Linked DNA regions of Coturnix japonica. The main gene of each other region encodes a partner of the protein of the gene in region 2 in a complex. Links are inferred from orthologs where the notes say so. Each region holds a gene or a part of one and is shown on either strand. Other genes may lie near its edges. The genes, in order: PDCD10 and STRIP1.

Region 1 (3,815 bases), on a different chromosome or scaffold from region 2:
AGGTTATCTTATCTAGTGTGTTGTTCAAACAGATGTAAATTATTTTCTGTTCCACAAGGAACATAGATGTTACCTGGGATTTTCTGAAATACTGATAATACCTGAGGCACTGTAAAGCATATATCCACAACACACAGCATTCACTTCACATAGGGCTGAACAAAGCTGGTCTGTTTTTCAGCATGTATGGGGTAAGCACACAACACATACAATTCTTGGCCCCACTTTTTCAGTCAAATGGCTTTGTCTTTATTTTCCTCTAGTCACACCAATTAGGTAAACAAAACCTTTTCACTGTGTATAAGCTTAGTATAAAAAGACACTTACTTGCCATCTTTAAAATAGGTTTTCAGAGTATCGCTGAAACTTTTGGAGTATTTTACAAACTCTTTCTTTTGGTGCTCAAGTGCCTGCGGAAAAGAAAAAGCCAAGAAGTCTAAGTTGAGATGCTATTGTGTACATCACAATTAAAAATAAAAGAAAGCACACAAGGATTATGTAGATAAAAGAATGGGTTTACTGTGGTAATGGGTTGTTCTTTCCCTGTATGTTTTTTTAAAACCAATCTTCCTACGGAACTGCTGAGAATTACCAAACAGCCATGTTAAAACACTGACATTGACCAGTTATGCTCTTCTGTTCATCCTACAAAGAAAACAATATGCTTCCTCTTCTACTAGAGAAATACTGTATTAGGTTATTTCACATACCCTCCGGTTCTGGTATTGGTATTTCTTGAAGACATTATTTACTGTGTCAAGAAGTTCCTTTATTGCACTGGCGATGTCCCTGTTTGAAAATGAAAAGAATTGTAATATGCATAAGCTATTCAACTCAAACATAGAAATTTAATCCTTTTTTAATAGTAGCACAGAAAGAATTTCAAAGAAGACACAGAAATCAAATGCTAGGAAAGTGACATGGAACTTCAGCTGCTAATTACTGATTCAAATTACTATCTACTAACACAAGGATCTCTTAAATGTTCAGCTCTGTTCTTATTTCTATGTGTATGAGAAACTCTCCAAATGAGAACAATTTTACTAGTGCCTCCCACAGCATTTGAACATTCAGCTCCAAACATAAAGTTAGGCCCCTAAAACTCCATAAAAATATTAAATACTGTACTTACTTGATTGTTTGAAGAAACCTCACTCTGTCATTGATCTCATCTGGAATCTTACTAAGAATCTGTTTAAGTGCTCGCGCCTTTTCATTCAGATCTTGGAATTCTGGCTCTGGTCTTTCAATCATATATTCTAATAAGTTGGATATGTGAAAAAAATACCATTAGTTTTCCATCAAAAAGTTTCCAGTGACAGCTTAAATAAAACATTACTTCACAAAATGCACTAGCAACCATGATGGATCTCAAGATACTAACAGAAGCAGACCAACAATAACTTTCCTTACTGAAAAGTGAGGAAAGAATAGAGCCCAATTTTATTTCCAAAGAACACTGACAACATTACAATAACGAAATACAGTTTTAAAAGAACTTTAAGCTCTCCTGTCATCGTAACTGATGCTTTCAATTTGAAACAAACTGCAACAGGTGAACTTCCCACACAAACCATTCAAAGGATGCATTTTCTTCCTCTTAGTCAAGAACATGTCTGGGGAGTTGCAGTGGTAGGCTTTTTCTTTATTCTCTCCAAAATAGGTACTCAGAGAAAGAGCTATTGCTTCTATTGAATATGGTTGAAAAAGAATCTACTTAGTAAAAGTAAACCTCTTCTGAAAAATAGGCAGAGCAATGCATGCTCTTGTTTAGAGTACGATGAAGAACGCCCTTACACAACATGAGGCAAGATATTACCTTCTACATCATCTGCTGCCATACGTAGGAGGGACTCTGTAAAATTCACATCCACACTTTTTTTCTCCAGAATTTTCATAATAATGTCCTGTGTGAGGCCTGGATTTTCTTTTTCAGCCTGCATTGTAGGATAAATTACTCTAAAAAATGCTCTAGAAATGCAATCATAATATTGCAAGCACAAAAGCAGATTTTAATGCAAGTTGTTTTGTACACCAGTGTTTGCTAGAAGAATTTCCATTCTAATGCCTTTAAAAAAGCACTTTACACTGACAGCTGTTCTTCCAGTATATTTTTCTTGGGTTATATCAGCAGTTTTATATGAATGACTTTATCAATATGCCCTTCCCCTCATTACAAAATATTTCTTACTCAAATTGACAGAACCATCTCTATGCTGTTGTACTCCTGCAATGTAACATTAGCAGTATTCACAGTACCTGTGTTGCTATCACAAAAATAGGCTGTGCTGAACAAGAATGAGGGTGTGTGTGTTCTGAGCTAGGACTACCATTTCCAATAGGGTTAGTTTCCATGCTATTTGTATTCAGCTTAGCTCCTTAGGACTATCTGTATAGAACATTTAACTTGGAAGAGTTCTAATTGAGAGTTGTGTCTGCTCAGGTACACTTTAAGAGGAGAAACAGGAAAGCACTGCTTGGTTGCTACGCTCGATGTACCTTGCATGTATACTTATTATTGTTTCTGCTAAAAGAAGTCTAAAAGATAGCTACTGAATGGTACATAGTAAGTTACAAGAAATATTTCTTCAGTTTCCTGCTAGATTTAAGTAAATACAAACACCAAATACCAAACTTATATTTCATCCACAAAAAAAATTTCCCTAACTATTAATCTTTCCAAGCCTGATACATTCCTAGTACTTCTGAACACCTATTCTACATAATCTGGTCCCATTAACACTGGATTTGTTACCTCTATTTCCTGTTCCATCCTCACTGATTTATGCCACCTTTACGCTTTCATACCATGTACACAAGGTAGGATTGTTTAAAATTGTTTAATATACTTTTAAGTATATTCAGATTTCTAATATGTGCACACCTTCCAAACTTACAGCCCATGCAATTGTACACTCAGTTTTATTGAAAACTATTGATCATAAAGGATGCATTCTTCAAATACAATAATATAAAGAATTTAAGTTTCAACATATATTGTTTAACTGACCATCCTTCAATACAAATTATGTCTCACCTTAATAAAAGCTGCTCTCAGTGTCTGAGCTGCAGATAGATTTACTCTTTCTAGCTGCAAAAGAAGTTTAGAATTATTAGTAATTTCACTGTTAACAGAACAACTCAAGCACTCATGCACTGCCTTATGTGGCCCAGTGAAAAAGGGTATTGACAGAAGAACAAAGACTGATCTCATCTGAGGGACAGACAAGATGAAGTTTGATCCAAACAAACAGCACTCGCTATGCCTTGCTTTTATTCAGCTTGCAGCAGAAATCTGACAGAAGACTTTTGAGAACATCTTGACCTCTGATACTCGCAGAGAGACAAATATTCTATTCAATTACAGCCATTAGCAGTAGAAATGGAAATGTATGAGGCTGTTCACAGGTATGTGTTACACCATGCATCACTTCTAGTCACATAATGTACAGGTTCCTAATGCTGTGTCAGATCTGGGAACATTAGAGCTGAAACAGCTCCAAAAGCAGACTCCCAAAAATTGCTGTGTGCATTTACAGGCATGAAGGGGAAAAAGAACACTGAAGAGATCATCTGAAAAGGAACTGCATGGTCAAGAGAAGTATTATTTACCTAGCATTTCTGCTAATATCTTTCGCAAAACCTAATTAAAATAATGTCAGGGTCAAGATAATAACTTTTGAGAAGCTTGAAACTGCATTTATGGGAAAGAATGATGAAATAAGTGGTGCTAAGAAGTTCTCTATGTCAAGGTAAGCAATCTGTTACTGCAATCAGATTTTCTAATGTAAAAGGGATTACTAGATTCTAAAGCA
Region 2 (3,915 bases):
ACCCCATTGAGCCCTCTGCACCCTGGGCTCCCCTTGCTGCCCATTCCCCGAGCTGAGCTTCCTCAGCAGCATCCCTCAGCATTCCAAGCCACTCTCATCTCCTCCTCCTTCCCTTTCCCATCCTGGTGACCAATGTTTCTCTTCACCTCCATCTCTTGCAGCTTATTGTTGGGGGAAATCCCTTGCAACCAACCCAGTGAGGTTCCTCCTGGCTTTTTTTCCCCCCTTTCTCCCAATGCCTCTTTCTTCCCTTAGCAAAGGCAGGGAGGGATTCGCTTCTTCCCCCACTGCCTGTTACAGAGCTGACATGGGACCCCCACCCAGAGAGCTGCAACCAGGGATGGGGGCTGCTCCCATGGCTCTGTATGTGGCTGCGGTGCTGCTTGTCCCTCAATGGGGGGGATGATATGAGGATGGATGGGGCAGCTTTGCCCACCTTCCTGTGCCCTCTGCTCTGTCTCTTATGGGGCTGTGTCCCCCCAGCCCTCATAGGCTGTGGGCAGGGGGGGTCTTTCTAACCCCAAGCTGGGGGCTGCAGCTCCATCTAAGCCATGTATTGGGAGGGGGGGGGAGGCAATGTCAGGCTGGGAGGGAGAGAGAGAGAGAAAGAGAGAGAGGTTTATTTTGTATATGACTGATTTTTAACGAATGCAATATGATTAATCCTTGCAGACGAGCAATAAATCATTAAAAGTCTAATGAAAAAAAAAACAAAAAACCAAAAAAAAACGAGTAGGAGCATAAAACGACCAACATGGCAGGTCGGTGGGTGAGTGCTTACAGCCTATGGGGGCACATAGGGGGGTGGGGGTCCTCCAAGCCCCCCCCCCAGCCCCTCCAAGGCCTGTAGTTGGGGTTGGATCCTCATTCACTGTAATGGGGGCTTTGGGCCCATATGGGTTATGTGGGCCCCATAGATCTGACCTGATTAGTTATAACCCATATGGGTTATATGGCCCCCTGTGGGTTATGTGGGCCCATGTGGGTTATATGGGCCCCTGTGTGTTATGTGGGCCCCTGTGGGTTATGTGGACCCATATGGATTATATGGCCCCTATGGGTTATGTGGGCTCATATGAGTTATATGGGCCCCTATGGATTATGTGGGCCCATGTGGGTTATGGGTTATATGGGCCCCTATGGGTTATGTGGGCCCCTATGGATTATATGGCCCCCTATGGGTTATGTGGGCCCATGTGGGTTATATGGCCCCCTGTGGGTTATGTGGGCCCCTATGGGTTATATGGGCCCCTGTGGGTTATATGGGCCCCTCTGGTGGGATCTGCTCCCCCTATTTGGGCTCTGAGCTGGTTCCGGGGTCACATCAGGTCATTCCGGACCCCCCTTTGGTCCCCATCCCCCCCCCACTTCCTGCCACTTCCAACATGGCGGCCCCCAGCCGTCGCGTCACGTGATGGCCGGAAGTGCCTCTCCCAACATGGCGCGCGCCACACCTATCATGGCGGCGATGGGGCGGAGCTTCTCCTCCGGTCGAGGCGCCGCACCGGACGTGGCCACCGGGGGCGGGCGGCGCTGGGCGGTGCCGCGGCCTGAGCGTCTGAACGGCGGGACCGGCGGGAGGTGTCATGGCGGAGGCAGGAGAACGGCCGGAGCTCGGCGCCACTCCCAACATGGCGGCGGCGGCTCTACCCCGGCTCTCCCTGCCGCTCCCGCGAGAAGGAGGGGTGAGTCCTCGCGAGATCTCGCTGTGTGGAGCCATGGAGCCGGGCGGCGTTGTGGCGGGGCCGCTCCCGGCCAACAACAAGGCCCGAAGCGGGGCGGGACCGGCGGGGAAAGGCCGAGAGTTGGGCCGACCCCCGAGGAAGGACTCCGAGGTCAGAACCGGAACCGACAGAACCGGGCCCGGCTCCGCGGGGCGGGAGAAGGCCGGACGGGAGGGGCGGGGCCTAAGCCGGGCCGGTTCCGGGAGGGGCGGGGCCTGGTCCGGCCGGTTCCGGTGCCGTGGGCCCGGCCTGGTTCCGTCCCGATCCCACTGCGGCCCTGTATGGAGTGAACAGCTCCAGGGGGCGGAACCTGCGGCCCAATGCGGCAGCACGGCCGGGGGGTGGATTGGAAACGTTGGTGCTGCTGTGGGGCTGCAGGAATGAGGGGGGTGTTGGGGTTCGTTTGGGTCCGTTTGGGTCCGTTTGGGTCCGTTTGGGTCCGTTTGGGTCCGTTTGGGTCCGTTTGTGTCACTGAGCCCCTCATTGAGCCCCGTTCTTTGCCCCCAGGGCTACTCGGAGTCCCCAGACCTGGAGTTTGAATACGCAGACACCGATAAATGGGCGGCGGAGCTGTCCGGTAAGGGGCCCGTCCTCACAGCTCAATGAATCAGCATTGGGTTCTATGCCCTGATCGTGACCGAAGCGGTTCTGTCCCCTCCAGCGTCGCTTTGTTGCCTTTAAACACCTCATTCACATTAGAAGGGCTGTGTCACTTCATAGCAGCTGTTCCTTTGCCATTAACATTGAGCAGCCATTAACCCGTGGGTCGCAGGGTGACGGTTCTCTGTGCTCTTTGGCAGAGCTGTACAGTTACACCGAAGGCCCCGAGTTCCTGCTCAACCGCAAATGCTTCGAGGAGGATTTCAGGATCCACGGTGAGAGCCCCCCCTTGGAGCTGGGGGCACCAATAGGGCTGGGTGTATCAGGTTGTGAAGTCAAGCAGCCCTTCAGCCCCATCCCATATACATCAATGCTTTGGCTTTGCAGTGCGGGACAAGAAATGGACGGAGCTGGACAAGAAGCAGCATCGCACCCACGCCATGAGGCTGCTGGATGGGCTGGAGGTCACAGCCAGGGAGAAGAGGCTGAAGGTGGCCAGAGCAATCCTGTATGTTGCACAAGGTACGTGCTGGCGTTGAGCTGGAGGCCTTTGCTTTGTATTTCATCTCATACAAGTGGAGCTGAAGCAGTTGTCAGAGGAAGGAGAGTGGTCTAAACTGCCCCTGCAAGAGGGCAGCTCTGTCCTTTGCTTTTCACCTCCTGCTTTAGCATTAAAGATGTGACGTTCTGTCCATCTGCAAAGCACATTGGCTGCACAGAAGGGCTTTGCATCCACTCAGGGTGTCGTTACAGGCACGTTTGGGGAGTGCAGCTCCGAGGCTGATGTCCAGGCCTGGATGAGGTACAACATCTTCCTGCTGCTGGAAGTGGGGACCTTCAACGCGCTGGTGGAGCTGCTGAACATGGAGATCGAGTGAGTGGTGGGAGCAGCTGCTCCAGGAGCCGCTATGGGGCTCTGCTATGGGCTGAGATGCTCCAGGAGCCGCTATGGGGCTCTGCTATGGGCTGAGATGTTTCCCAAAAGGTGGCAAAAAAAAAAAAAAAAGCCGCTTGGGGCTTCTGCTATGGGCTGAAGATCTCCAGGAGCTGCTATGGGGCTCTGCTATGGGCTGAGATGCCTCCAGGAGCTGCTGTGGGGCTCTGCTATGGGCTGAGATGCTCCAGGAGCCGCTATGGGGCTCTGCTATGGGCTGAGATGCTTCAGGAGCCGCTATGGGGCTCTGCTATGGGCTGAGATGCTCCAGGAGCCGCTATGGGGCTCTGCTATGGGCTGAGATGCTCCAGGAGCTGCTATGGGGCTCTGCTATGTGCTGAGATTCCTCCAGCTGGTGGCAGCTGTGTTGTTCCCTGCCCTGTTTCTGTTCTATTCCTGTTCTGATTCCTACTCGAATGGCTGGCATTGCTGCGTGTGGATGTGTAGACACACAGGATGCACGCAGCAGATCTCTAACAGCCGTGCTGTCTGGCAACAGCTGCGTTCCCCCTCTGCTTGATGGGGGACTTGTTGCATTAGTGCTCACTCCAGGCTTTGATTCTGACACTTGGATTGCTTATAGTAGAGTTAAATGCCTCAGGAGCAGCACTGAAGCTGTTCTCTCCCTGCAGTAACAGTGCAGCGTGCAGCAGTGCA

The links.
Region 1: STRIP1 (region 2) and PDCD10 share a complex: the UniProt entries of both Homo sapiens proteins name them as parts of the core of STRIPAK complex. The link is inferred for Coturnix japonica from reciprocal best matches to the Homo sapiens genes STRIP1 and PDCD10.

Annotation. Positions count from the first base shown.
Region 1 is NC_029524.1:18,278,362-18,282,176, reverse strand, and holds part of PDCD10 (programmed cell death protein 10), read right to left. Parts: intron 3,092-3,815; coding exon 3,038-3,091; intron 1,938-3,037; coding exon 1,820-1,937; intron 1,260-1,819; coding exon 1,133-1,259; intron 790-1,132; coding exon 711-789; intron 411-710; coding exon 328-410; intron 1-327. UniProt on the Homo sapiens protein: Promotes cell proliferation. Modulates apoptotic pathways. Increases mitogen-activated protein kinase activity and STK26 activity. Important for cell migration, and for normal structure and assembly of the Golgi complex.
Region 2 is NC_029541.1:1,697,810-1,701,724, forward strand, and holds the start of STRIP1 (striatin-interacting protein 1), read left to right. Parts: upstream 1-1,691; 5' UTR 1,692-1,718; coding exon 1,719-1,835; intron 1,836-2,231; coding exon 2,232-2,301; intron 2,302-2,524; coding exon 2,525-2,599; intron 2,600-2,711; coding exon 2,712-2,846; intron 2,847-3,077; coding exon 3,078-3,198; intron 3,199-3,890; coding exon 3,891-3,915. UniProt on the Homo sapiens protein: Plays a role in the regulation of cell morphology and cytoskeletal organization. Required in the cortical actin filament dynamics and cell shape. Part of the striatin-interacting phosphatase and kinase (STRIPAK) complexes.